Linked DNA regions of Rhinolophus ferrumequinum. The protein of the gene in region 3 purifies or fractionates together with the protein of the main gene of each other region. This does not show direct contact. Links are inferred from orthologs where the notes say so. Each region holds a gene or a part of one and is shown on either strand. Other genes may lie near its edges. The genes, in order: ANKRD44, ANKRD52 and PPP6R1.

Evidence for each region.
Region 1: the proteins of PPP6R1 (region 3) and ANKRD44 purify together in Homo sapiens (co-immunoprecipitation; 5 studies listed by BioGRID and IntAct, counting the BioPlex papers as one, with this or other methods). This does not show direct contact. The link is inferred for Rhinolophus ferrumequinum from reciprocal best matches to the Homo sapiens genes PPP6R1 and ANKRD44.
Region 2: the proteins of PPP6R1 (region 3) and ANKRD52 purify together in Homo sapiens (co-immunoprecipitation; 3 studies listed by BioGRID and IntAct, with this or other methods). This does not show direct contact. The link is inferred for Rhinolophus ferrumequinum from reciprocal best matches to the Homo sapiens genes PPP6R1 and ANKRD52.

The regions. Positions count from the first base shown.
Region 1 is NC_046291.1:33,251,755-33,261,630, forward strand, and holds the start of ANKRD44 (serine/threonine-protein phosphatase 6 regulatory ankyrin repeat subunit B), read left to right. Parts: upstream 1-5,709; 5' UTR 5,710-5,871; coding exon 5,872-5,898; intron 5,899-9,876. UniProt on the Homo sapiens protein: Putative regulatory subunit of protein phosphatase 6 (PP6) that may be involved in the recognition of phosphoprotein substrates.
Region 2 is NC_046293.1:55,591,694-55,601,302, forward strand, and holds the start of ANKRD52 (serine/threonine-protein phosphatase 6 regulatory ankyrin repeat subunit C), read right to left. Parts: upstream 4,473-9,609; 5' UTR 4,364-4,472; coding exon 4,337-4,363; intron 4,020-4,336; coding exon 3,936-4,019; intron 3,472-3,935; coding exon 3,393-3,471; intron 3,193-3,392; coding exon 3,122-3,192; intron 2,099-3,121; coding exon 1,898-2,098; intron 1,419-1,897; coding exon 1,331-1,418; intron 1,196-1,330; coding exon 1,053-1,195; intron 780-1,052; coding exon 567-779; intron 290-566; coding exon 211-289; intron 1-210. Other genes in the region: COQ10A (coenzyme Q-binding protein COQ10 homolog A, mitochondrial), read left to right, coding at 8,590-8,723, 9,230-9,376. UniProt on the Homo sapiens protein: Putative regulatory subunit of protein phosphatase 6 (PP6) that may be involved in the recognition of phosphoprotein substrates.
Region 3 is NC_046298.1:48,432,053-48,441,697, reverse strand, and holds the start of PPP6R1 (serine/threonine-protein phosphatase 6 regulatory subunit 1), read left to right. Parts: upstream 1-5,622; 5' UTR 5,623-5,719; coding exon 5,720-5,743; intron 5,744-6,844; exon of another isoform or gene 6,845-6,992; intron 6,993-9,645. UniProt on the Homo sapiens protein: Regulatory subunit of protein phosphatase 6 (PP6). May function as a scaffolding PP6 subunit. Involved in the PP6-mediated dephosphorylation of NFKBIE opposing its degradation in response to TNF-alpha.

The DNA.
Region 1 (9,876 bases), on a different chromosome or scaffold from region 3:
AAAGTCTCCATGCTGAAATGGTGAGGCAACCTCATTCAAAATTTAACCTTATTCAGCAATAATTTTATACAGCCCTGGTTTTCACCTAGGCCAGGAAAGGGATTCTGATTTATTTACAAACAGACAGGGAATTAGCTATCTGAACCACCAGTGTAAAGTCAAAATATATGAGTATATTGGGTTGGGTTCCTCAGGAAACAGTCTCTGAGATGGAGCTTTGCGTGCTGAGATATACTGGATTGTTTTTAGGAACACAGTCTGTGGGGAATTAGGGACGCAGGACTGGCAGAGGGAGGTTGATCTGTGATGCAGTTGCAGCATAAGCCTCAGCTGATCCCAGAGCGAGCTCTGGAGCTAAAATGTCCATAACAGGTCCTGAATGGAGACAAGGGAGCCTGGCTTTGTACCCTTGTACTCACTGGATATGAATAGCTCCCAGGGAGAGGCTGTATGTAACCCTGAGTGAAGCCGTTACTTTTAGCTGAGAGCAATTTGTGGAGGAAGGTTGAACTTCAAGCTGTCAGCAGGCAATACTCCCAGCAGTTGGGGGCTAAGGACTTTGGTCCTGAAGGTGGGAACTGGATGGCACACCATAGCATCCACTACAGTGATATATATTTGTATATTTATATGTTAATATACACATAGATATATATGTGTGCATATTCATATACACACATGAATATATACATATGCATACATTATGCATGTATTTATATTGATAAAAATTTAAAAAGCATAAATTAAGTAAATAAAACAACCACAGTGAAAGGGAATATAGTACATTGGGTGGATTTTTTTATTAAAATCATAGGCTATTATCACTATAGTATAGTGGTTCTCAGGATTGCCCCTTAGGGAATATTTTTTGAAATCTGAAGGGCTTATTGGGTTGTCACAAAGTATGGGGATGTTCTAAATGTCTATTGGGTGGAAATCAGCAATGCCAGGTATCTCACAATATGGATTTCAAATGTCCCACTGGATATTCATGTAAGTAAAAATCTGTTTGTAATTCTCTTAGCCTAAAGCTTAACCCATTTTACAGAAAAACACAATGTTTTTGTGCTTACTTTGAGCAGTGCATCTATTTACCCCTTCTTCAAACCTCCTTGTCATCAATCTTCCAACCCTTTTCTGCCCAAGTTGCTGGACCTTCTCAAGCTCAGTCTCTTATATACCATATCCATTTGATGAGGGGTTGCTCTTGTGCATGCCCAATCTTATGGGCTGGTGGGTCAGATAGCATCCAGTTCTTAGGTTGCATAGTCACTTGGTGTCTCATGGTCAGTCGTTCAAATTCAGTAGCCAGCTAGGTACAGTTTCTCAAATTGAAAATTGTTATCTGCAGAAGAGGGCATGGCTTTGCTCTAAAACTAAGGAAGGCTGCACTGTGACTGTTCCATTAGAGCTTGCCGGAGGCTCCATATACCATCCCTGTTTTCTGCCAACACTTCAAGTATCATTGGATTCCTCTGGCTCATAGGGTCTTGCTACACTCTTCTTTTTCTCTGATTCCTGATAAAAAGTGCCAGCCTTATGCATTACTGGGTTAGATGGGTCAGAGCACTACACTCAAATATGGTAGATATATTGCTTCCAAAATCCAGAGGCGCAAAAAGTATTGTGTCTCATTTTTAGTGGTAGGTGGTGCAAGGTGCAGCAATTTGTCTTTCACCTTGGAGGAGATAGCCTGATGTTGTCTGGATCAATGGACCCCCAGAAACTTCACTTAGATGGTAAATTTTCTTGGGGTTCACATGTGTCTTATTATGGCATCTACAGTATCTGTTATTTCCTATTTATTAGGTCCAGTCAACTTACTGTCTTTAGGATAGTGATTAAGATCTCTACAGACTAGATTGTGGCAGAGAGCAGGAGAATTTACATCCCATAGACAAGACTGTAAAGGTGTACTGTTTGCCTTACCATATAAAAGGAAAGAGCTTTAGATGCAAATTGGAATAGATAAAAGAGCATTTGCCATATCAATAGATGTATATGAGGTACCTAGGACTGTGTTGATTCGCTGCAGTAAAGATAGCACATATATAACTGCATCTGCAACTGGCTTTACCACGTGATTAAGTTTACAACAATTCCTAGTTATTGTCTAAGATCTACCTGCCTCTGCATAGGCCAAACAGGTGAGTTAGATGAGGGAAGTGACAGTGTCACCACCCCTGCATCCTGCACATCTTTTATGGTGGTGCCAATATTTACATCTCTTTAGGGATGTGGTATTGCTTTTGGTTTTCTATCCTGGTAGCGAGAGGAATTCCCAGAGGCTTCCACTTGGCCCTCCCCGCCACAATGGCCTTCACTCTGTGGGACAGAGAAGTAATGTGGGGACTCTGCCAGTTATTGAGTATGTCTATTCAATAATACATTGAAGAACTGAGGCAATAGCCACAGAGTAGATCTGCAAACCTATTGGATACTTGGGTGAAAACTCCATTTACCACCTGACTACCCTAAGTCTCCACTTTGATTGGTGGACCCAGTGATAGTGGATCCTCAGGAATTAGCATTAATTCAGGAACAGTGTCTAGTAATCCCTGAAATATCTGGGTATTTCCTTTTTCCCCGTGCATGGTCACCCTAGTAAATGACATAACTTACTTCCTTTGGGGAAGGCTTCGATGACTATTTGTAGTATAAATTTCAGCAATGCTGCCAGATTCTTTCTTAAGGGGACCAGCCTCTCTTCAATCAAGGGGCTCTGTGGCTGTTGAGGTATGGAACTGGTTGAGGTATGGAAACTGAATAGGAGGGATAACTTTTCATTTTGATGGCGCAAGTCAGGTTTCAGGCAGCAGAACTCGAGTTTTGCCTGTTATAAAGATCAAGGAATATTTCTAAAGTCTGCCCATCTCTTTCATTCCCAGGGCCACCTAGGGTGTTACCAAATATCTATCCCTGGACGTCAAGACCTTTTAGTACTACTTTGTCTCTGCTGCCCATTGTAGTAAGTGTGTCTAGTATCTTGTCCCTGCCGATTAAACGGTCCTAGGACCCCATTATCATAGAAATCACGGAACCATCTCAATTGAAGCATCTCCCACTATCATATCCAACTACTACAGAGCTTTTCTGGTGCTTCCCTTACTAATGTATTTTTCAATGCCTAGAAATTGACTAGGTTGGGTGTACAGATTACACATGATAAAATCACTCCAACATTTCCATCTCTATAAACCTTTGGATGTCTTTTTTGAATTTCTTTCTCTGCATTATACCAGGGACATGCTGTCGTCTTGATCTCACTGATCATAGATCACCACCGAGTCAGTTTCATTTAACCAACGCAGAAACTGTTGGCGTCACTTTCAATGCTTGAGCTTACACATTAAATCCAGAGTTTCTGTTAATGTACCCATCCCAATAAATTAAGCCCAATCCTTTGCCTTTATTGTGTTTGGAACTTGACAAAGAACCTTTCAGCCTTTCACCAAGTTATCTCACCTATGACAATACCAATGTTGATATTTGAGTTACTAATACGACACATTCATGTTTGTTTGTATTTGTAGTTCTCTCAGGCATGATGGTTCTGCATACAGGTCAAAACATCTACTCTTTATTTGGTCTTCTAATAGAGTTGTGCTATAGCCTTTACTTATTGAAATACACATAATTATAAATGACTTTCCTTTTATTGTTCCTTTATTATACAATTAGAACATTAATATTGATTTTTTTTGTAATTTGCATAGGTAGATAATATTATCTATGAATTTCATTTCAGGAAAATAAAGGGAATGTTTAAAATTCTAGTTATAAAAGGGGATGTTGGGTCTGATAGGGTTGAGACCAGCTTCCTCCTCCTTTCAAATTGGGCCCCAAAAACTTATGTATCGGTATGCCCAGAATGAACCAAAATGGATCTTGAGCGCATCTGCAAAATTAAATCATGTGTTATCACTCTTGTGAAAGATGGCTCTATTTAAGTAGAGAATTCAGTGTCCTAATCAGTTTATTTACAAAGCCATGCAGGATGATATTAATAAATAGACCTGTAAACAACAGCAGTGAAAAAGTGCCTCATAGATGCAACAAAAACAATCTGTTTTATTTGAGGGAGGCCATGAAGAGATACATTTTTGTCTCGGTGTATCATTGAGGATACCAGGCGTGGAAACCAGGAGCTTGCTTTCTTCGTCCCCCTTCTCTGCATGATTTGAATCACAATTCCATGGTTAGGTGATAAATTGGAGGATGCTACCACTCCCTACGCTCCTTTCACATATGGAATCTTCGGGGGAGCCTCTGAAAGTAGGGTGGAAGAGTCACATTTGGTTTGTGAATGAGGGTTGATATTTGGTTTTGACCCAGGAACTCTAGCTCTGGTTTGCCGTTCAATGCCACTGCCCTGCAGGTTTGTTCTCTGGCCTGCCTGGGCACCTGCGGCTGCCTGGGGGCAGTACCCCCACCCACCTGCCTACCTTACTCTTCCTCCTCCAGAATCTCCACTCTTGTCACTTTCTCAGGGAAGTCTGCCCTCACTCACCAGTCTGGTTTGATTCCTTTGTCATGAATTCCTTCAGAAGCATTTTTTCACGTGTGATCCCTTATCTCAGTTTATGATTATTACATGCATTAGTGGTGACTATGTGGTTTATGTCTGACACCTCCTACAACTAGGTATCTTGCCTGTTTATGCTTCCCCTTCCATACTACGCTTAAGCAGAACTTGGTACAAAGTAGGCACTGAGTATGTAAGTCGTTGAATGAATAAATGTTTGCTCCAAATTCCAGAAGCATCAGAACTTACTATGATTATGAATATCACTATTGTATTTGTATTCCATGCTGTTTGACAGCTGAGTCTTCTATCTGTTGAAGAGCCTGGTAACTGGATTTTGTAGAAAATGGATGAGTCAGGACAGGTGGGAACACTCAAATGCCCCATTAATGTGGTAATTTAGGACCTCTTTTCTTCTCCAGTAACTCTACTCCACCTCCGCCTTCCCCAAAACAAAAGCCAGTGATTGTATTAACGATGGAGTCTGTGTGTGTTTAGCTGGGAGGCAGCTGGAGAACAAGGTGGAAGGGCCAGAGCCCCTATCCCCACCCCTCAAGGGTTGGACGCACACTCACACTCGTTAAAGAATTACAGTGTGTCCAGGGCCTCCCCGCATTAAACAAAGACAGCGTCAGAATAATGGTCCTTGACCGGGTGGGAATAATTTGGAGTGTGGGTAATTTGATTTCGGATTAGGGGAAGAGGTTTAGGGGAAGGGGTGTGACCCAGTCTCCCACATTAAAGTTGTGGTGTGTGAGTAGCAGCCTTTCTTGCCCCCTCGGGTGTGTCCGCACAGGCTTGCTCATCAGGTTGTGTCTGTGTGTGACTGTGTGTGTGTGTGTGTGTGTGTGTGTGTGTGTGTGTGAGAGAGAGAGACGGGGCTAAAGTGGATCACCGTCAGCCTCTAACTGTGCACGCCCTGGGTCCGGAGGGCAGCGGGGGCGGCCCTGGGGCCCGGGTCTAGCTCGCCCCGGCCCGGTGAGCAGGTGCGGGAGGCAGGCGGCCGTCTGGCCCCACTGCGGCGCGCCCGGTGCGGGCGCGGGCTGCTAGGCGCGGCTGCGGGCGGCAGGAGGCAGCGTCGGCCCAGACGAACCGCGCACGGTGATGTCAGTGGCGGCCTGGCTGGCAGCAGCCGGTACTTCCTGTATAAAGGCGGGCGGGCTCCGCTGCAAACCCCACTAGCCAGTGTCAGCCTCTCGGCGGGAGGAGGAGCAGGGGGAGGGCTGTCAAATTCGGGAGCCAGATTTTTTTCTCTTCCACTGGCAATCCCTTCCGCTTCCCCGGCTCCTGGCGTGACATCTGCGGACTCGGGACCTGTATGCGTGTGAGCGCGAAGGAGCGGAAGAATGGCAGTGCTCAAACTCACCGACCAGGTAGGGGGCGGCGGCGCGGGCGGGCGGGACTGGCGGGCGCGGGGCGGCGCGGAGCCCCGGCGGGGGGATGGAGGCGCGGCGCGGAGCGCGCCCGCGAGCTGTTTACTCGCGGCGAAGGGGAGGAGTGTGTGCGGCCGCCCGCCGCTCCGAATGCCGGCGGCTGCGGCTCTCCTCCCCTGCGCTGTCCCCGCCCTGGGCCGTCGGAGCTGCGCGCTCCGGTTGGGGAAGGGGCCGGCGGCAGCCAGGCGCAGCCTGGGCGCTGGGGTACGGGTGTGCGCGGGTGCGTGTTGTCCGCGGGCCCGGGCTGGGCAGGGGGAGGGGAGGCTGGAGGTGCTCCTCCGGCTCCAAGCGTGCTGCGCAGCTTGGGCTCCGACAGCCTTTGCCGGCCCAGGGGAGGCTCGTCCGCGCCGCCGGGAGGAGAACGGTGGATGGAGAGGGAGGGAGGATCGCATCCTGGGACCCCTCCGCAAGCCAAGCCACGCCAAACCCGAGACCGGCCCAGACCGCGGCTCTTGTGTTGTTGGCTGTCTTTATTCGTTTGACATGACAACCTGACTTCCTCTTTAGTAGCCCCAGAGGCTGTGTGTGCGTGGTGCGCGATGGAGACCTTTGGAGAAAGCGCTCTCGGTTCTGGCGGGTCTCTCCGAGGAGGAAGTGAAGTCCACCCCGGGCTCCACTCACAGGCGATGGGCTACCTACCCGTCTACCTGTGTCCATCAGCTTTGTTGCTTCCCTTGCTGAGACATCACTCAGGGCAGCTCTGGAGTCCTGGTTCGGAGAGGTGGGGATATTTGCTGAATCCGTTGATAGTCCTTGCTGCAGGTCTGTGGAATGAAAACATCTTACCTTTGCGGACTCTGCTGCTCTTAGGACATTGACACTCACAGGTGCCCAACCAAAGTTGCACGACAAAACCCTTTGCAGCCTCTTACACGGAAAAAAAAAAAAAAGGAAGCAGCTTGCGCCCCCCGACCCCCCCACGCCGTTTATTTATGGATGGTGAAAGGAACATTGTTTTGGAGGCTTGGTAGTCCAAGAGACAATCTTGACTTTGACATACGCGGTCAAACATGCCCGCCCTTGGTAGTAAACATCTCATACTTCTCTGGTGGGTTGCATCTGGTGCCTCGCCGTTCCCAGTTAGTATCCAGAACATCCTGCGACTTAAATGCAATCAGGAACCACTGATTTGCTCTCCTGCCTTCCAGAATCAAAGCTTTCCCGAAGTATTTACAGCACCCTCCTCCCTTTTTGTAGGAGAGGGATCACTGAACTGAACTTTCATGTTATCGTTAAATTTAGCAGGAGGAGCAGCTGGTAATTATGATGGATCTGCTTGTTCCCATTGGTTCCAGAGCATTTAATAGTGTTTGTAAGTTGATATTAGGATTTCCCCCACCTTTTGGTCACGTACTTTGACAACTGTTGGACATTTGCTTGTTTTAAATCTTCCAGTTTTAGTCTGCCTTGGTCTTGTCATCTTTGCTAGTACATGTTACTGACTATGTTTGTCTGTTATTCCTAAACCTATAAACTACAAAAAATGCTTCCAGTCGGTGTTATGGTTATCACATACACAAAAGAATTTCACGTAAAATTTTAGAGTTGTAAGGGACCCTAAAGACAATTTTAGACCACATTCTTCATTTTTTAAATGAAGAAACTGAGATCTGGAGAATTGGAGTATGTCTTCCTCAAGGACCACCACTCTTGGCCCGGGGGCAGAGACTACCTCCTGTTTCCTGCCTTCCAGGCTCTTGTGCTTTCTGCTCGGGGTGACACATCTGTCTTGTCATTGGATGTGTTAAAAGGGTTACAAGAAGGCATCCTCTTCTAAATCAATATCAACACTAGGGAAGAGTATGTTACTTGGTCTTAGAAAGAAAGGAAGTTATTCTGGACTTTTCAGAGTAGGACCTTCAAAACTGTTTGTCTTTTAAAATATTTCTGAACACATCCCGCCCTTTCCCCAACAAACTAGTATTACTATGGAGGGAAAGAAAGAGTCGTATATCCTTCATTTCATTCCATTACCTGATGTATAAAAGGAACTGAAGGAGTTCTATGGTTCAAGAGCATCTAAAACTTGCCAGCTTATTGTGGTGCAAACCCAGGGGAAAGCTGGGTGAGAGGTGTTCTGGGTAGTGGGCAACCATGGTTTCTGGGTGGCTTTAGGTCCAGGAAGTGTGTGGTCTTTCTTGCCTTATATAGTTGTAACTTTCAGTTTGAAACTAAATTCTTAGAAGCTGGTTCTTAAACTCACCAAAGACTTAAAAATCCTTTGCTTAAACCCCTACTACAAAAGTTTTGCTCCATCATTGTGGGTAGGGAGCTGTCTGCTTGGAATCCCTGCCTTATGGTTTGTGCCTAACTCTCCATTCAGCTGTTTGTAAAACAATCACATTCTAACTCCTCCCTCATCTGGTTAATGCCCAATTTGTGAGGTGAATCTTGATTTTTGCCAAGGCTCTTGGATATTTAGCTTGAGGACACATTCTTGCTCTTGATAACCCGAATCACAGATCGTCTTGGTATGTTTTTAAATGTGCCGAAAGTAAGGAGAGAAAGAAGATGACATTTCCTGTCCTGCTGAAACTGAGTGCAGGAGGTTGTTGGGCAATGAGGGTCGCTGGTCACGGCTTCCACAGTCAGTCCTGCACTGACATCCCAAGCATGCAAGATGAGGAAAACTTTCCTAACTCTGTTTTGGAAGAGTCAAAAAAAAGGGATGAGGGAGAGTCAAGTGTGGTTTTCAGTCTTTTTCTTTTTTTTTTTTTTACTATGAGAAGGAACTGGTAGCATTGCTACAAACAAACAAAGTTGGCATTTAGCACTTCTGCATTTGTAACTGTGTGTCTTCTGTCTTCCTCTTCACACAACATCTTTCTTGCAGTGGTAGGGAGACCAACCATCCTGGCTTGCCAAGGACTGAGGATTTTCCCAGGATATCGTACTTTTGTTGCTAAACCCAGGAAAATTCTGGGTAAACCAGAACGAATTGGTCAACTTACACAGCATAGAACACACTCACCTATGTAATTAATATAGTAATGTAAGTATTTTCTCCAAAAGGACATTAGGTTTATTTATATCTTTGATAAAGTGAGGTAATTTTAAGTGTGGGGAAAAAAATTCTGTTACATACAAATGTAATGCATTTTGGCTCAATTTAGCCATGAAACTCTTTGCAATTTGATTTGCTATTCAACTTTGGGGGGCTGCTCTTTATGTCACATAGTTAAGGCACTGCAGTGAGGTCCTATCTTCAACTTGGACCTCTCTAAAGTGTTTCAAAGTGATGAAGCCAGAATGGTAAGTTCTGTTAGATCTTTGACGTGTTCAATATGTATTCTTATCTGGATTTGCTAGTGACAGCAGAATGCTGTCTCCATCTCTCGAGGGCTGCCTGTAGACAAACTGTTTCAGCAGGTGGCCCTTTTTGGAGCTTCCTGCCTGGAGGCCTTCTGGTTTGGTGTCCCCTTGCCAAGTCCTCGCTCACACTTGAGTCATCCATCTCCTTGCCAAAGGCAGTGGCTGGCAGCTGTGGCAGGGCAAGACACTAGAAATCCTGTAACTTTGAAAGCAGGATTTCTAGCTGATGGTGTGAGGCCTTGGGACTGGCTGGTGTATTTTATTTGTCTGCCCTCATCCTCCTTCATTCCCTAGAGCTCTGGGCTTACAGCAAACACTGTGCTCCAGTCCTGCTTTCAGCAGAGAAGAAGGGAAAAAGAAAGGCTTTATTTTTTGGACCATTCTCTCGTTGTTTTGGGATCCACTCACATGGTTTGGGGAGTGCAGTTGAGGGCTGGTCTTTCATGGCAGAGACCTAATAATGGCTTATATTTATCGTGATCTTATTGTATGCTGGGCCCTTGTGAATCGTCTCTCTTAATCGTCACAGCCACACGAGGAGGTAGGTGATAGTATGCTTTCTATTTTATAGATGAGAAAACAGGAATAGAGAGGCTAATTGACTTG
Region 2 (9,609 bases), on a different chromosome or scaffold from region 3:
GCCAGGCTAAGCATTCTACATGTTATCTTGTTTATAAGCCTTAGGGATGGAGCAGACAGAGCAGGGCCATTTCCACAGGGCCCAGCTCATAGCTCCAAGTACCCATCCTGACTGGAAGATGGGATGGGAGGTGGAATAAGGAAGGAAAGGGGTTTCTAGAAATGAGTTCTCTGGGGGAGGAGAAGGGAGCGCAGTCTCCCGAGTCCATACCATTCTGGATGAGGATCTGGGAGCGGGTGAAACGGCCATGGATGGCAGCCATATGCAGAGGACTTTTCCCTTCTTTGCTCTGTGGAAACATGGCAGGTTTTTTGTTTGTTTGTTTGGTTTTTGTTAGTGCACAGCACAGAGAATGCCTGGTTCCCCTTAAAAAAGACACATCCCTGAGGACTGTGTGGTCATATGGATATCTTCTCAGTCCACTCTCTCCCAGGTCCCTGGCAAGATCAACCCAGGAGGCAAGTGGACAATTCCCCCAGAGAGTTACCCAAAAGGGAAGATATAGTCAGGACCCCCAGGGCCAGGCTCCTCTCCCCACTGGGCTCAGCCTCCTCCCCTTCAGGCACCTGGTAGTTGACGTCAGCCCCGTTATTGACCAACAGCTCCAAGCAGAGTGCGCCATTGGTGGAGACTGCAGCCACATGTAGTGGCGTGAAGCCCTTGTCATTCGGCTGGTTGACATTGGCTCCTGCATTCACCAGCTCAATAGCCACAGCATCCTGGCCCAGGTAGCAGGCGATGTGCAAAGCTGTGTTTCCAAAAGCGTTGGGCTCATCGATCTGGATTTCCAGGGGTGAGGGTAAGGGGGTAAGGGAGGTATCAGTTTAAACAGACAGCCTAAATAAAGAATCCCGGAGATCCAATGACTGCCTCAGCCCCCTCAGGTTCTTGACCCAAAGGACTAAAAGCACTATTACTTAAGGTAAATATTATTCAGATCCTCTCACCACATACTCCATGCCTCCCCAAACCACACCTTCATATCTCCGTAACAGACTCTGACCTCCAACTCCCTGCCCTTAGCTCCCAGCCCCCGTGCTCAGCACCCTGACCTCAGCCCCCATCCGGAGCAGGTACTTCACCACTTCAATCTGGCCACTGGCAGCAGCTGTATGGAGCAGCCCATAGCCCTTGCGGTCCTTGCAGCCAAGGTCTGCTCCCCGTGCCACCAGCAGTTTCAGGACCTCCAAATGCCCTAGGAAGAGGATGCTCTCAAAGAGGGTGCACTCTAAGGCCCCGAGTGCCTCTCTCTGAAGGCTGCAACCCCCTCTCCCTGCCCCCAGGAATCCTAAGTGTCAAATTCCTGCTCTTCCTGTGAATCCTTTCTCACCTAGGAAAGCTGCCCAGTGCAGAGGCTGCCGCTCCTTTTTGTCACAGACATTCAGGCTGGCTCCCTTGTTGAGGAGCAGGTTCACCGTCTGTATCAGGATATGAAAGACACCTGTTCAAAGCCAGGTTCAAGCCCTCAATGTACCTAAGAGCAGAGAGGCCTCAGCTCCTGAAAAGGCCGAGGCAGCCTAATGTCCTTGTTCTTGAGCAGAATAATTTGGAGAACTAGAGGGAACAGAGGAAGCAGGCACTAAGGAGATTCCACACAGATTCGGAAGTTTGAGTCAAAACTCAAGGAGGTCTCTTCAGGTGACGGGTTCTTAAACCCTTTTGAAAAGTCTTTGAAAATGTGTTGAAAGACATGGCTCTCACTTCACGAAAAGGCATATATACCAACATTTTCCATACAACTCCAGACAGTTTATCACCCTCTTGAATTCCAAGTCAAGAACTTCAACCCCACCTGACCATTCATTCAGTGCTCCTACTGAGGCCTGATGGCCCAGAAGCCAGGGAAGGTGAGTAGGAAGGAAAGGGAGGCTAGACATAGACTGGGAGAGGTCCTCACCTCTAGATGCCCACTATGCACTGCGTGGTGCAGGGCACTGCGCCCACTCCTGTCAGCCACGTTGAGGCTGCTCAACAGTGGTGCCAGAGCCTCAGCACACTTGGTGGCCCGGTTGGCGGCAGCCACATGCAATGGTGTCTGCCACAGCTTGTCCCGGGCATTCACATCAGCTGAATGTGCCAGCAGCAGCCCCAGCACCTTCTATTGAGTGGCAGGGGATAAGAGAGATGACAGAGGGGGAGCAGGAGGTAAAACATAAGAAATGGGAAGAAGAACAAGGTCAGCATGGCATATGTGGCCCCATTTCCCCCCGCCCCCAACACAGTCTCTTCTCAGTTTTCCAACATATCTAGCCTCTTAATACCTACTTTCCATCTTCTGGGTCTTCTTAGAGCTTAAAATCTTCCCACTTTGCTAAGGAAATCATGAATCCCTTCTCTTCTTCAAGCCACCTACTATCATCCCCAATCCAGACCCTGAAAATCGTCATCCACACACACAGCCACTACCAAACAAGAGGATCCTAAGCCCTCACTGCTCCTAGGAGAGATATACAATCCTGTAAGGCCCCTAACAGCTTCCTTCAGCCCTTCCATAGGCAACAAGATCATTTTCATTACCTAGGTAAGAAAACAGATAATGGCTCCTCTCCAAAACCCAGGCTAAAATGGCCCCCCTAATCACCACTTACCCCATTTCCACTGGCCTGTCCCACCCCTTCCCTGTTGGCTGGAGCCAGGGAAGTGACCGTCTAACCAAGAGGGAGGTCTACCTTCCCCACTCTTCAGGGTTGATGGACCCAACTGATGAGGCATGTTTGACCCCTGTGCTGTCAAATTTCATGCTGTTGGAGGGGCAGGGATGCAACAGATCACTACCCATGTCCCTCCATCACAAGGAAACAAATCTCAGTACCCAGAGGGGGATCAGACTCCAAGGTAGCCCCCCAAGGGAGGGATGAGTCACTCAGGCCTGGCAGCAGGGCCCCCTGCAGTCTGCCAGCCCAGTGTTAAGCTCTCCCCTGACGTCACATTAGCTGGCAACACTCAGCCCCCCCTTACCAGCCAGTTCTAGGGATAGGAGGGAGGGGCCAAGGGCTGGTCTTCTCCCTAGCCGGAGTAGATCAACTTGCAAGGTAAAGGAATGAGACTCTCCAACCCTTAACCTTCACCTTTAACCACCTCATCATCTTCCGAAGGGTGAAAAGAGGCGGGAGACCTGTACCTCATTTCGGGAGGCAGCAGCACGATGAAGAGGGGTCAGCCACAGTGTGTCCTTAGCGTTGACATTAGCACCTGTGGGGATATAATTTCCTCTTTTGAGGGCAGGTGGAAAGAGGTAGAGAAGGAAGCCGGTAATCAGGCCAGGGAATTGGGATGGAGCTATAGCCTCGCCTGGACCAAGCACCAGAGAACAATCCTTGGATACGAAAAAAGAGGCTCCTCCCCTCAGATCCCCTCCCTAGGTGCCACACCTTCCAGCTCCCCACTTTCACCTGACATCAGTAGCAACTGGAGGATGGGGACATCGCCTACGTAGGCAGCAGCATGCAGTGGGGTTCGCCTTTCTTGGTCCTGATAAGGTGAAAAAGAGGAGTGGCTGTGGGGGTGAACTAACGGAGGACCCCAGCCCAACACCTAGAGCCCCAGTCTTCTCCCCACAACCTCTTCCCATTGGTTCTGCAGCCTCCTAAATCCCAATCCTGGATCACTGCAAGCACCTAGGGAGTGTGGGGTCAGGGGGTCAGGGCCAAGGGGCCTGCGAAGCAGTCTCCTCCTTTCAAGAGGGGAGGGGTCGCTGCAGACACTGTTGATTCAGAAGAGAACACCGTTTCTGAGCATCCTCAGCCTCCCCGATCTGTGCTCCGAGCCTGATCTGTTCTCCATCCCTAACGGTAGAGCAGGTGCCCATCCCGGGGTGGAAAGAGCTACGGCCTCATCCGAACCAAGGAGACACGGAGCCGCCCCACTGGTGGAGAGGGGTCTAGAACACCAGGGCCCAGATTACGGGCTCGCCATCCTCCCTGATCTTAACTCACCAGCACATTGATGTTCTCCTTCTGCGAGAGGAGGGAACGCACTTCCTCCACATCTCGGCTAAAGATGGCCTGGACCAAGGGCGGCTGCAGGGAGAACCGGCGTTCAGGGAACGAGCCGGAGCGGAACCCAGGAGGGGGGGCGGGGGGACACCAGGTTTGGGGGAGGCATCGTTGGACGGGCTCCGCTCTGGGGTCCTGGCTGCAGGGGGCTCCCGCGGTGTCTCCGCGGGTCGCCAGGACCCCAAGGACACCGGCTCAATTGAGGGGAGCGCGGCATGGGGCGGGGCGGGAGCCGCGGGAGACCCGGGCTTGGGCCCAGCCTAGGCCGCACATCCCCGGGCTCGCGTGGCGGCGGCGACCGGCCCTGGAGGGAGGAAGCGGGAAAAGGCAGGAGGGCTGACCTGGTCCGTGATGCTGAGGATCCCCATGGCCCGGGCCGGGTTCCGTCCGCATCGAGCTCCCGGCGGCGGCGGCAGCGGCTCCACCGGGGACACCGGGCGGCCCAGGCGGCGGCTGCGGCGGCTGCTGCTGCGGGGAGAGCGCGGCCCCGCCTACCGGGGGGCGGGCGAGCGGGAGCCCGCAGCGCTCCCTGGCGGCCGTCCTGGGCCCGGCCGCAGGGTCCTTGGCGCCGCCCCGGGCCGCGGCGCCCTCCGCCCTGCTCTGGCGGCCGGAGCGGCCCCGGCTCCCGCACCTCGCGCGCTGGTTTCCCGGCTTCCCAGGCCTGCCGCGTTGTGCTCTTCGCTCCAGTCTGACGGCCCCGGGATCTCCCCACAAGTCTCTAGCGGCAACTCGGGCTTTGGCCCTGCCGTGCCTTCCAACCAAATGGCACCAAATGGCTGTCCCGATCTCACCCAGCCCACAATGCCTCCGCAGGAGCAAACTCCTCGGGTCAGCTATTATACACCCCCAAATCCCCCCAGACTTGGGGAAACGCGCGTGGAGATCTGGGGATTATATATGGCAATAGCCTTAGAAGGAGGGAAGGCGCCTATCTCCACTGGCGGTGACATGAGTTGGGTAGGAAGGAAATAGCAAAAGTGCTCAGACTTCATAGAGAAAAACCCAAGGACTTTACTGCTGCAGAAAAATCCCCACAAAGAGTCTAAGACAACCAGCAGCTGAAGACCTCCAAGGCCAACAGAAGGGGCACTTTTCGACTCCCTAATTACTGCCAGGTTAAGGTGGTAGGGTGGCGGCTACCTTTTAAAAGGCTCAACGGTTTCTTCCCAGAAAAGGGTGGGGGTGCTTCCCCTTCCTCTATTGAGAGCAGCCAATCAGGGAAGATGTGGAAGGAGGGCGTCCCAGCCCAGAAAGGGAAAAAGAGGGAAGAAAAGTGGATATTGAAAAATTGGTATTATTTATAAAAGGTGATTCAGAGACCAGTTCAGAGCTCAACAACTCAATAAGTGTATTAGGAAGAAGTGTAGCACGAAGTGTCAAGGCATAGATATAAAAGCCCTCCCTCACTCTCCAACAATCTATGCCTCCTCGTTGCTTTCAATATCTTGATTCCCTCTGGAAAAACACACAAGACATTGGTACCAGGGCTATTTCCTGGAGAGAGAAACTGGGAAACAGGGAATGAGGTGTGAGAGGGAAATTTACCTATCACTATATACCTTTAATAATGTTTTGATTTTTTACCGTATTGAAAATAAATGCGATATTATTGAAAATATTACCTCTTCCAGGAAGTCTTCCCTGGTTAACAGGTTCTTTCCCTTTTGTTAGGTCTCCTTGACATACTTAGTTTACACTGTCACAATCACGTTTAAATCGCACCCTTTTGTTCATTTCACCTTATATCTTTGACGTATGTACAAGTACCCAGTAGTTCAGAATGGATTTTAAATTCCTTGTCTTTCGTTCAACACAAGACTGCACATTGTTTGTTTGTTTTTCTATTAAAAAAGGATTTTGAACTCTGAAAGCCAGGGTATACATGCAATTATTTTTGTAGCTCTAGCAGAACACTACATGGGAAGAAGCACTTAACATTTGATGATGAAGGAGAAGAAAGAGAAGCTGAAGAAGTAGAAACCAAAGGTAGTTGGGGATTAGATGGATATGGGTGTTGGGACATGCTGACTTGGCTATTGGGTCTGATAGACCTTCCAGGAAGGGCTAAGCTAGGATATGGCCTAGAGGATGGGGAGGAGGGGACTATGTGGCCTCCATTGCCTGAAATAGCTCTTGGTAACCTGAGGAATTGGGAGTCAGGAGTTAAGCTGGAGTCACGTGCCTGGTTCTGGCGTGGGTGTGGAGGTGAACAAGGAAGGTTGCCAGCCGGGTTCTTTGGGCAGCTGGAAAGAGGAGGAAGGGCTAGAAGAGTTATTTTTAATATTATTCAGAGCACAGAAAGAGGATTTCCCAGTAGGGAAAAAAGGGATATGATGTAGGTAACACAGATACTTCCAGGGCTCAGGGAGACGCACAGAGTGGAGGCGAAGGAGGCCAGAGGTGGTGGCAAAGCCCTCTTATGCAGACAGTCCTTCTGGATTCAGCTACTGAATTCATATTTGGATAAATCTGGGCAGATGCCTACTTGTCCTTAAGACTCAATTTTCATTCTTCTAACAAATGTTGATTAAAAACTCACCATTGTGTACAGCCTTATACTAATTGGTTTGGAGGTAAATGGTATCTATTTTTGTGGAGCTTATAACTTAGTAGAACACACACGTACACAAGAAACAACTAGAGAATATGGGATATATGCTACTTTACATGACATCAATGTTAAGGAATGGGTTTAGTCAAGAGGGTCTTCCTGGAGGAGATGTATTTTAAGTTAGTACTTGAAGGCAGTTATTGATGTACAATGATGGGAAAATGGCATGCAATCGGTTGTTTCAAGTACAGGGAATTTCCTAGGAAAAATTTAAACGGCAGTAATTAGTTAATCTAATTAGTAAGGGGGCAACAAGCAAATTGGCTTGGCAGGCCTATTGTACCTTGGGGATTCTGCAGCAGTTAACTCGGTTAAGGCGGAGTGTTAATGAGGTCACAGTTCAGTCGTGTATCCCAGTTAATTTCTGTCTTTTATCTGGCCAGATCCTTCCTCCTCACTCTAAGCAGCTGTCTCACATGTGTAAGCCCTTAGTCAGAGAGAGTGGGGCCAGACAAGAGAGTGGGGTTGGAAAGAGTAAATCTGTTCCCCAAGGTCATATGCCCATCCAAGAGAGGCTCCATTTTATCATCTTTGAACTGGAAGGAGGTACCGTATCTTGGATGGTTGGGGTGGGGGTGCTGAGGGAAAAAGAAGAAATGTTAGGAGAGAAAAAGAAATTAGATCATTCCACCAGTTTGGGGCTTTATACTCCTGTATATATAAGGATTAAAACACCTTCCTTACAGAATGTTAAATGTAAGCCAGAGTTCAAGGGAGGGCTCCTGCTCCTTGAAATTCAGATAAAATGGGCTCAAACTTTAAATCAATCTATATCCAGTGGAAGGCCCCAAATTAATGCCAATCTCAAGGAGTGGGGGGGATTTGGAGGATTTATATCTGTTTCCAGGCCCCTGTTTTGGGCAAGATGTCTCTCTTCCACACCAATTAGATCCAAAAGGCAACACTGTCTTTATTTTATCCCTGCCCCCGCTTCCCCCCAACACTACTCAGACAAGGCTTCCCTGAATGTGGAGAGCTTGACTGAGGATTCTGAAGGAAAGCAGAGGAGGGGCTTGCACTGTAATAGCATAAACATCTTTAAATGTAACAGCAGGCACCAGCATTCTTAAAATGTCCTTCCTCTACTACAACGTGGGAGAATTTTAATGGCTCTTGTACCCACCTAGATCCAGCTCTAATTGCTGATTTCTCTCTCCTCTCTCCATTTTTTTTCTTTTCTTGTCCCCACTTTTATTAAGAGCATTTCCTGCCCTCCCCCGCCCCATTATGATGGAAAGCAGTGGGTTCCTGGCCATGGGGTCTCAACCTTCATCAAGTGCACACTTTTCCAGACAAAGATATTTCCAGTAAAAAGTAAGTCTGGTTCTTCCCCAACTTTTTTGTATAAATGTTAAAGGAGAAAACTATGTAAAGTCTTAGCCCAGAACTTGGAACGTTCATTCCTTTTCTCAAAGATGTAAAACATAGCACTAGGCACTACGGAGTCTACAAAGATGAACAGAACTTACAGAACTAATTATATAAACAAGGCAGAATATGATAAAGGCTCTAAGAGAGTTCAGATCAACAGATATCTACTTTTGACACGTCCACAAAGTCGCCTTTGTGTTTATGTATCCAGTCAGTGATCCCAGAGTAGCCAAACAGTTTGCCTGGTGACCTCACGTCACCGGGCCACGTCTACATCTCAAACACACATTCCATGCCCTTTCTCGCCAGAGGTGTGAAACTACATCTCCCGACAGGCCACGTTGTCCCCTTGCTTCCTCCCTCTCCCAGTGCCGAGCCATGGCAACGGCGTGACGTGGGGATACTGGGAGCTGCCGGAGCAGCGGTCGCAGCTTCAGTTCTAGCTCACCCCACCGCCCGGTAGGGAGCAGGGCAAGAGGAGCCGTAGCCCCTCGCCACCCCTGCGCGCCCGGGCTCTGAACCGGCCTGTCGGTCGCTTCCTGCCACCCTTCCTCTAGAGTGAGGAGGGCGCAGCGGGTGGCAGAGCCGTGAGGGCCAGGGAGGGTCACGCGCATGGCCTCGGCGGGCGCGCGGCGGCTCCCGGCCGGGACCCGCGCAGCGGCCCAGCGCTGCTGCGGCCTCCGGCTCCACCGGGGCGTGCGCCCGGCCCCGCCCCTGGGCCCTTCGCGACCGACGCGACCAATGAGGTGAGAGGGAGGCGCGGGAGGCCGCGCGGAAGGAAAGGGGGTCGCTTAAGACCCTAAAATTCTGCGGCAGAGGGTTGCAACCCTGGGGTCTAATGTAGAGCTTTGGAAAACACACTTTTAAGTTGTTCGCGAGGGGAAGTCCCCGGGGTGGGTGGCCAACCACTTCTTGCCCCTCGCGGACGCCCTGGCAGCAACGGGCTTGGCGAGGCCCCGGGGACGGTGATGCTTCCTAGCTTTCAGCAGTAGCATAGCCCCCACTCAAAGACAACTGGCGGTTCGCATGCACCCCGCTTTCTCCCGTTTCCTCCCCCGGCACTGTCCTCGGCTGCCCTCGACCTTTCGCACTCGTGACTGCCTGGCCAGGGAGTCTGGCGGGCTGCAGCAGGTGGTAGGGGAAAAGCTTGCCTGGACGACCTTCCTCTGGGATGCGCCCCAATTCCCCTTCACCTGGGAATGGTTGAACACAAAGAATTGTGACGTTGTCTCTCCTTTCCTTTTGACCTTAGATTTCTGATTTCCTGCAGCCTCCTCTTGCCCCGGGCTGCCCAAGTCTTGTCGGCTGAGGCTGGCTTACCTCCTAGCCGTTCCTTCATGGGCTTTGCTGCCCCCTTCACCAACAAGAGAAAGGCTTACTCTGAGCGTAGGATCATGGGGTGAGCATCCTCCCCTGGCCAGCATCCCTCCACATTCCCTTCCCCTCATGTCCTGGTTAGAATGTAAGGGTAGCAATAGTGGGCAAGATTCATCCCTCTCCCGGCTATATTACTGATCCTTTATACTGCCCTGCCAGTCTTCCAACGTTAAATTCCCTCTTCTTGGTTGCATGCATGTGCAAAGTGAAACTTGCCTAGAGTTGGACAGTATAGTACCATAAGACAACAGGGTT
Region 3 (9,645 bases):
CTATGTTAGCCTTTGTGATGAGTTGCAATTATTTTTCCCACCAACTTGTTTTTCTTTCATTTTTGTTTTGGGCATCTTTTTGCCATGCAAATACCTTTTATGTTTATGTGGTCCAATCCATCAAGGCTTTCATTCTTGGTTTCTGGGGTTTGTATTCGTGGAAGGGATTTTAAGTAGGGATAAGTAAGGGTCAGCTGTATCTGGCAGTTAGAAGGAGCCCAAGAGCGCTGATGTGATGACAGACCAATGGGGTCTGACCGGAGGCTGGGAGACCCTGTAGTCCAGACTTGGGTGAGAATAGAAACAGTGAGTCATGGAGCTGAGCAGAGGTCGGAAAGCCCTGGGAGGCTTCTGGGGCAGGGAGGTTTCCGGGAGGGAAGAGGAACCACCGCTGGGTGCAGGGCGTGCTATAGGCAGGGGCTGGCCTGTGCCCTCAGGGCTCTGGCTCTTGCCCACCCCTAACCCCCATCTAGGAGGAGCTGGAGTTCTGTGAAAAGCTGCTACAGACCTGTTTCTCCAGCCCAACGGATGACAGCATGGATCGGTGAAACTCGGTTGCTTCCAGCCCCCTCTCTGTGGGAACCCCAGGCCTCTTGCCTCCCTCCTACCCATGAGGCCCTCTCCCAAAGAAGAACAGGGCCTTGTTGGTGCCCGGCCGGGATGTGCCAGCCCATCTTTGCCTCTAGGAGGGGTGCTGAGAAAGGCACCAGCTCCTTGGACCCCATTTCATGCTCGCACGCCATTCCACCATTCTGTGTCCACATTGCCTTACAATAAAAGTGTTTCTCCACCTTCATTGCCACCTTTGTCAGCTCCACTGGAGGTTGCCTGGGGAGGTGAGAAGGGGCTCGATCTTAGGAGGTCTGGGGAGCCACTGGAGGGGATGGCAGTGGGCAGAACCTGGGAATAATAAAAGTGCTGCTCTCTAAAATCCGGAGCCATTGTCTCCTTTCATTTTCCCGGCCTCTCGAGAGGGTGTGGGGGAACATCCATATTTCTCGGCCAGCCATCGTTTCTGATTTCTCCTCGGTTTGAGGAATCCCCCACATTAGACGTCCACGCCACCTGCCCTAAGGCGGAAACCATGTTCTTTCCCAGCATCTTGTACAGATGTACATCACGTGATTTCAGCCCCACCAATCAGAGCTCGCTGCACGGCCTACTGGGGAGCTAGTGATAGAGAAAGGAGCAGGTGCCGGGAGAGGTCTGGTGGCTCTGCCTGCACTGGTGGTGGAGGCCAGTCCGTGTGCCCCCGATAAGCCGGTGGTTGGCATTCCTGGAGTGCAAAGTACCGAGCCTTCTCTCTAGCCTTCTCCGAGATGGTGGGGCTGGGAGAGGGACTGCCTCACCCCCTTTAGTAAGTTGCTTTTCAGTTTAGCTTAAGGTTGCGTCCTTTGCAACCACGAGGCCTGACCATTGTCGTTTTTCAGACAAGGAAGCTGCGCCCAAGATGGTTAATTTGTGGCCGAGTTCACAGAGGCAGGATTCAGACCTGGGTTAATTCCGAAGCTGTACTCCTACGTCCTGTATCCTGGCTTCTTAGCTCTGTTTGATGGCAGACTAATTTCTTTGGTGTGGAATTTACTTGTACTTGGGATTTTGTAGGGACCAATTACTTTCACCCCTCTTCCCAAATTCAGGATAAACTGAAAGGTATCTTTAGGATTTGAGAATCGGAGATCAATTGCCACCTTTATTACTATCAGAGCCAATCAGAGGAAGTGGCTATAGTCTTGCTATTTCATCTCAGCATTAGACACTCTTGCCCATCTGGTCACAGACAGCACTGGGCAAACACGGGCCTCGGCTTGCCAACCTTCACATCTGCAGCTCAAAGCTGCAAACATGATACATGCCACTGAGGTTATTATGGTTATCTGTCACACAACAGTCGCTACCTGATACAAGGACCAAAAAAAATCATGTACAACAAATACACTGGAAATAGCATGGACCAGAAGGGACATGGCTGAACAATCAAATTACAGACATGGTAATCAGTGAATGCAGGAGGAAATGAGAAAGATTAAAGCAATTAAAGAGAAGCTAACAGATGTGAAGGACAAATGCATAATTGGCATCCTTGAAAGAGAGAACAAGCATCTAGAACAGGTAAATATAGTGAAACATTCAATAAAATGTCCCCGAAATGAAAAAGGTAACACTGAAGGTTAAAAATAAAAGCTAAATCTTTACATCCACTTATTCGTCTTATCCTTATGGGCCTGTAATATGGGCAAAGGGGAATTATGAAAGTTGGGGAAACTGAGGCCCAGAGACATATGGGACCTTAATGAATATTGATACAAGGTCTGGGAGAACCCTTCCAGTCGATGTTAGAGAATTCTTTGAGCAGCAAATGTCTGTAGTAAAGACACTGCCTGGGCAAAGGTCTGGTGGTGGGATTGAAGTCAGCCTGAGGCACAGAGATGATGTCTGGAAAGAACCCCCCCGGGGTCACAGGCGCCTGGCCCTCGTTGGAGAGAAACCCGGCGCGAATTCCCCAGGAGCTCGACTCTGGAGCCAAAGCCTGAATGTGATTGGAGGAGACAGAATAACGAATAAATTCCGCCAGAAGCGAGCGGGAAGAGAAATTCTGGGGCAAGAACGCCTCCGGAGTCTTACAGCAATGCTACCGGGTGTGCAGTGGCGCCTGCCCATTGGGTTGTCTGGGTTTATTTGGGGAGACCGTTGGCACCAACAGGCGCAAGCGCACCGTAAGAGGAGGAAGAGGAGGTGTTCCGGATTGGCGGGGTCGGGAGCGGCCAGCCCCAGGCGCACGCGCACTGCCGAGCTCGGGCGCGCGGCCTCCGCGCACCGAGACGACGGCAGGAGGGCGGGGTCTCCTGCGTGCCCCTGCGCTGTGGGGATTGTGGGATAGTGGCGGACGGTAGCCGGGCTTCGGAGGCCTTGAATCCGACTGCAAAACCGGGAAACCCAGCCGGCGTGGGGAGGGGGTTGTGGGGAGGAAGTAGCCCTTGGCTTCTGTGGGCCTCCGCTCAGCACTGCGGCCTGTTCGGACTGTGGAGGACGTCTTCCCCGACCGGCCTTTGCTTTGCAGTGGGGCGCTGGCCGCAGGAGACGGGCGGCTTCCCCGCTGAGAGCCTGTGCGGGCCTCGCGACCCCGCTGACTTCCTTCAGCCCCGGGTCGGGACTCGCACCCACATCACCGGCAGTCTCGGACCCCCGCCCGCACCCAGCCGGCGCGGACCCCCGAATTCTGGAACTCGGCGCGCGAGGGCCTTCCCCTACGTAGGCCCGAGAACGCGTGCGCGAGCCCCGGCCCCAGCGTCTGCGCCAGCGTTACACACCGCCGCCCCCCGCCCCCACGTACCGGGCCCCTGAGCAGGGCCGGATCCGCCGGCAGCGGGGCGGGGGGGGCGCCCCGATGAGCCTCGAGTGCGAGGAGCCGCCGCCCCCCGACGCAGGTGAGCGGCCGCCCCGGCGCCCTCCCCACGGCCGGGCGTCCCGGGTTCCCCGGGGCCTCGTCTCGGAACCCGTCGAGTCTCCCCAGCCCTTCTTCGGACCCTTCCTCTCCTCCCTGGGGTTTCTCCCAGTTTCTCCCCATCAGCCCCCGTCTTTCAGTCTCTCTCCACAGGCTCTTAACGTTTCTTAGTCTTTCCCTTTAATCTCCCAAGTCTCTACCTCCAGCTCACCCCATTCCTCCTTCCCTTTCAGGCCCGTACCCCCGCCCGCGACCACCACACCTCCTACCATGGGCTCTCCTTCCGTCTCTTAGTGGGTCTCCTTGGCCTTCCCCTCCCCTAGCCCACCTTCCCCAGTCTCTTCTCTCTACACACCCCAACCTTCTCCTACCTCCTTACTCTCTACTCTTACTCCTCTACCCCCCACCCACCCTCATCTTTTCCTCCTCACGGACCGTTCCCTTGGACACCCCTTACCCTTCTGTCCCTGTCGCCGGCCATCCTGGATTCCATGGCCTCTGACTGTCGTCCTTGGACTCAGGACGACTGGAGTAATGGGGCTTCCCTTCACCCTGACCAGGCTCTCCCGCCCCATGGCCCCGGCTTCTTGTGAGCTGGGCTTTGGGCGGTACTTCTGTGGAGCTGCCACCACTGAGTCTTATTCTGTGAGATGAGGCCTCCTGAGGGCAGGGCAGGGAGCCTGGTGCTGGGCACTGAGGGAGGGAGGGACCAGCCCTGGGAGACAAAGGCAGAGCCAGTCAGTCACAATAGTAGTGGTGTGATAGAGGTAAGTCAGGGTGCTGTGGAAGGCCCCACGGCTGAGGAGGGACTGTTGAGACTGGCTCCTGGTGGCGTTTTCTGTCCAGGAAGGATGAGTAGGAGTTGACATGGACGGGGGCGAAGAAGGGCCTTCTGGGTGGAAGAACAGCACGTGCAGATATGTGAAGGTGGGAACCCAGGAGCAGGTGTGCGCCCAGAGTGCAATGTATTGGGAGGGAGTGGCCTGACACCTTGGGGGTGCTACTTGTCTAGGCTCCCGAGGGTGACCTTCTTGCTGGGTCTTTCTTGATTGCTCTACTGTACAGCTCTGCTAAGGACGCAAACGTTACTGTATTAACATCAGCCCAAAAGGCAAGGTGTTTGTCTAAAGCAGGGCTGTCCAAACTGTTTTCAACGTTTCTCACCAAGGGCCGTATGCGGTAAAACACACCAACAGCCGGGCCACTCACTCGAGGTGAAGTACGTGTTGCCTCACCTGGTTTATTTAAGTAAACTAAATAGATTTTTGGAATTTGCTGCGGGCCAATTAACAATGGCCCGCGGGCCGCAGTTTTGACACCCCTGGTCTAAAGGAAGATGGGTTGTCAGGTGTGGTATGGTGTTCAGAGTTGTAAGGAAATGCCAGTGGGGTATAAAGTAGCGTTGACATCGGTCTCCTCTCAGGCTGGTTCTGGGGGTTCAGTGCGCTGTTTATAGGAGCCTGGAGCAATCTGCAGGGCACAGGAAGTGCTCCAGAATCAGCAGCTTTTAAGGTTAGTATTTGGTTTGGGGTTACCTATTGTAGTATTCAACTGGGGGTGATTGTGTCCCCTAGGGGAAGTTTGACAATGGCTGCAGACTTTTTTTGTCACAACTTGGGGGATGCTACTGGCACCTGGTAAGTAGAGACCAGGGACACTGCTCAGCATCCTACAGTGCACAAAATGGTCCCCGTGACTGTGTCAGACCCTGTCAATGGGGCTGTGGTGGGGACACTGATCTCTTGCCTGGGTGTGATGTAATTTTGGCTTGTCTGCTCTGTTACTACCTGTGAGTGGCTGTGTGTTGTGTATTTTGACTTGTTTTTGGTTCTTTTTGTTGGGTCATCTACTGATTCCATTGGAGGAGAATGCTCATTCCCCCCTATCCCCTACAACTTTTCTTTAGGACCTATGGCCAAATGACCTTCAGTTTTCATTCATTCAACTAGTACCTCCAGCTGTGGGCCTGACCTTATGCTAGGTTCTGGGAAGTGGACATCTGGCAGGGAGAGGCAGGTGACTAAACAGGCAAATGCTGTCACAGAGCCCTCAGATGCTGTCACCCGGTGACCGCGGAAGCTGTGGAAGTGTGGAGTAGGCCCCTAACGCAGTCAGGGAGGCTTTCTGGAGGAAGTGGTGTCTGCACTGAAGCCTGAAGGACCCAGGAGGAGCTAGTCAGGCTCGAAGGGCTGGAGGAAGGCAGAGGGAGCAGCGAGCCAGGGCAGAGGCGAGGGCACAGAGGAGCAGTCAGGTGTGGCAGGAGTGTTGCGCGCCATGCGGGTGGCAGCAAGAGATGAGGTGAGAGAGACCTAGAAGCGTTGGTGAGAATGAGAAGCTTTCCTGGTGTTTCTGGGCTCCTGGACTCGTGGGCAGGCTCTGCACTGGGGCTGAGGACACACCTTCCTTTTGAGGCTGAGCCAGTTTTCCCTTTGAATGTCAGTTTTATGGACCTTCCCATGGGAAATGTGGTCTTACCATCACCCTGAGGTGTCTCACAGGTGAGGAGTTCAGGCTCCGTGGGGTTAGGTCTCTAGAGATTTCAGTTTGGACAGGTAGGACTGGAACCCAGGCCTTTTTGACTGGATCACCTGTAACACTCAGTCTGCACCTCTGTTTTCCAAGGGGCATTTCAAAATCTGTTTGTTGTTCTTTTCCTTTTTTCCTTTGAACCCATGGCCCATCCAGGAGACCATCCTGATTGTGAGCTTTCGGGCACCTCCTCAGGCCTTGGCCAGGTGTCCCCAGTCTGTTGTTTCCAAATTACTACATTCCCCTGGGGACGGACCATCATGGCCACCTCCCTTAGGGTAATGTGGTCTGGGGTCAGAGGGAGAGGCACCTGAGCTGACTCTAACTGGGTACCCCCCACACAGTTTTCCTGAGTCACAGTAAGGTCCCAGCCTGTCCTCCTGTGTGGCCTCAGTGACCCCTTCTTCCACCGCCTACCTCGTTGGGTTTTGTGGACACACACACACGTACATATTCACACACTCCTGCCCCCATCTTCCTGTCCTTGGAATCTGAAGTCCCTTACCCCCTTTCCAGATTTAGCTGAGAGCTAACAGTGGGTTGGAGGCAGGTGGTCTCGCCATCCTCTGAAATGCCCCTGCCACGGCTGAGAGCCAGGGGGTTCTCTCCCCTCCTGGGATTCACCTCCTGGGATTCACCTATGTCACATTAGAACGGTTGGTTGGAGGGTGGCAGCAGTCACCAGCTCCAGATGGTTTCTCCCAACGCTGGATCCTCTGCTGAGCCTCAGAGCAGCTCAGGTGGCCACTTTGGAGGCCCTCCCAGAGGCCTCTGCGCCCTTGACCTCCACTTCCGGGCACTTTGGGGCCAAGGCAAACAGGAAGGGGTGGCAGATAAAGGATCAACCCAGGGCTCCCCGGCAGGCGGAGCTGTTTGGACGGGTGGTGGCAGCAGCAGTGACAGTGGGGACAGCTCTGTGGGAGCTGCAGGCAGGCCCTGTCTGAGCCCAGGCGGGGAGGCCTGAGAGCACAGCAAAGTGAGAGCGCAAGGCCATGGTGCAGAGCTGGCGGATGGACAGGTGCTGTTTGTTTTTTAATGGCTTCCTTTCTCATTTATAGTTTCCCCTTCCGTTTGCAGCTAGAGTCTTGGTTTTCATCCAGTTTCTAAAAACCAGTGGTAGTCACTTCCGTTTTCTTGAAGTTTGCTAAACGTTGCAAAGGGTGGGGGTGGCGGGGTATGTAGTGCCCACCAGCACATTTGAATCACTCAGGCAAACGGTCAGAGTCTTTCTGTCTTACTCTTCTGTTTTTAGCACCGTCACCCAGTGTATGGCGGTCTCCTTCCCTCCCACTAGAAGTATCTGGGCTTCGGCATGGTTTCAGGGACAGACAGGAAGGGACCAAAACCTGCCGAGCGCGTGCCTGTCACCTGCCTGACCCAGCTATCCTCACAGCATGGGCCTTCCTGGTGGGCTGTGCCCACATTTCACAGACTGGAAACGGGTCTGGGGTGCCAGCTGCCTGGCCTAGGTTCATGCCGTGAGAGTGAGAAGGAAACCACCTGTCCTATCCCCAGGGTTTCCAGCAACTTGCGTTAAGTGAGAACATGAGGTTGGCCCGCAGGACTTGGAGCTAGAGTGAATTGAGTTTGTGGCCAGGAATGTTTTTTTCTCTTTTCCTCTTTTTAGTGTGTTCTTTTTTCTAGTTCTATACCTGCATCTTCGTTCTGTGTAGAGCTTGAGAAGTGATATGTGTAAGGTACCGACCACCACTCGATTGCATCTGGGCCTTGCCACCTCCTGATTTTCAGAGGGGCCACCTGGGTTGGGAGGCCCCGGGAATCCATACTCCATGCCACCCAGCTTCCTCCTTTCTTGTTGTGGAGGCCCCCACCCCTCCCAACCCCACCCTGGTTCTCTGGAAAGCCAGCTTTGGGAGGGAAATCCGACCTGTTGTCTGATGGTGGGGGGAGATTAGGGGAGGGGGGTGGGGCCATAGTCTGCACACAAACCGTCTGCTCTGGAAGTGGGTGGGCCTTTAGTCAGAAGAGCAGGGCTCGCAGAGTCCTGGTTCTGCCTCTTGGTGGCCAGGGCTCCCCTCTCTGGGTCCCCATCCCTATCAAATGGGAATAAGAACAGTGCTACACCTTGTCATCTCGATGAGATGAGAGAAAGTGCCGTGTACAGTACACAGGTTCTCTGCAGATGCTAGCTGGGCCCTGCCCCCCAGCTGTGGGGTGCCTGCTTAGCTCAGGAACAGTGGTAGGGAGGTGGGGAGGGGCCACTTGGGAAGGCTCCCCAGGGCGGACCTTTCATGTGCTTCAGCTCGGTGGGCAGCTGGCGCCTGCTCAGCTTGGGGTGACTGGTGACGGCGACTTGGAGCGAGGCCTGGGCCTGGCCCCGCATGGCACTCAGACAGCTCTGGTTTTGTTTTGGTAACAGTTTTTGTTGAGATGTAATTCACACACTGCACGATTCACCTATTTACAGTGCGTGATTCAGTAGTTCCTAGTAGTCACAGAGCTGAGCGCCCTTCACCACAATGGATACTTTCAGCTGAAGTATGATAAATAAAGTTGTGTATAACTGACTTTAGAAGTTTTGGGGGGCTCTTTAAGAACATCCTTTCCCAAAAGGAAAACCCACATTCTCCTTTCCCATCTCTCCCAGCTCCTGAAAGTCACTAATGTACTTTCTGTCCCTGTGGTTTTTTCTTACTGGACATTTGATGTGGATGGAGTCACATGGCCTGTGATCCTCGGTGACTGCTTTACTCACTCTGCTTGGGTGGCCTTTTGGCTTCTCTAGTCTCCTTTTTGCCATGAGAAAGTCTCCAGTGTAGAAACACGTGGTGATCTCACCACTTCCAGGTCCCTGCCTGTTGTGGCCCCCGGCGGTGGCTGCCCCTTGAGATGACTGGTCCCAGGTCCCCCCAGTTCAGGAAGTCCGTCCCTGGGCCATCAGAGCCTTGGGGCTGGTGTATCACCTCTGCTGAGCCTTACTTTTCTCACCTGTGGCATGGGCGCTGTCGCAGACTTGTCATCATATGCGGTAGGATGTGTGGGAGGGTCCCTCAAGGAGGTCTAGGCTCTGGGCACAAGTAGGGGTTGCCTGCGTGTGAAGGGTGGCCATGCACTTGCAGAGGGGGCTACTGGTTGGTTTCCTTTTGGAGCTGTAGTTCACTCCACCCCTAGTGCAGCCCGCCCCACCTTGGGGTTGGGGTTTAGGGAGCCCCTGAGTTTGGCTGGGGGGCGGGATGGGCACCACTCCCTTTCCCCTGACAGCTCTGGCAGCCTCCCGCCTCGGGCAAGGCCTGGGGAAAGGTGGTTTGTTTGTAGGCAGGGAGTCTTTCAGCTAACTTTGCTGAGCATGTTTCGAGTGCCAGGTTCTGTGCTAGGTTCTGTCCCTGGGTGCTCACGGCAGCTGGCGAGGAACTTCTGTGCAGTTCGTCATCTAGTTAGGGCGTGTGTACTGCACGTGTGTCGTTACTGTGACAGTGTACATGCTGGGCGGGTTGGGACACATGTCCCGGAACTGGAGGTTGGCGAGGGCCCTTGGGACCTTGAAAGCAGAGACTGGAGAGGTCATCACAGGATTTTGGCCTGGAATGAACAAACATAAGGTGCTCAAATTTGTCTCAGAAAAATGGCCCAAGTTGGGGGGCGGGGGAGGGCGGCTGGGGTGAGTCCCTGCGTGTGGTAGTATAGGGCTGTCCCCTCCTGGCTGTCCCTGC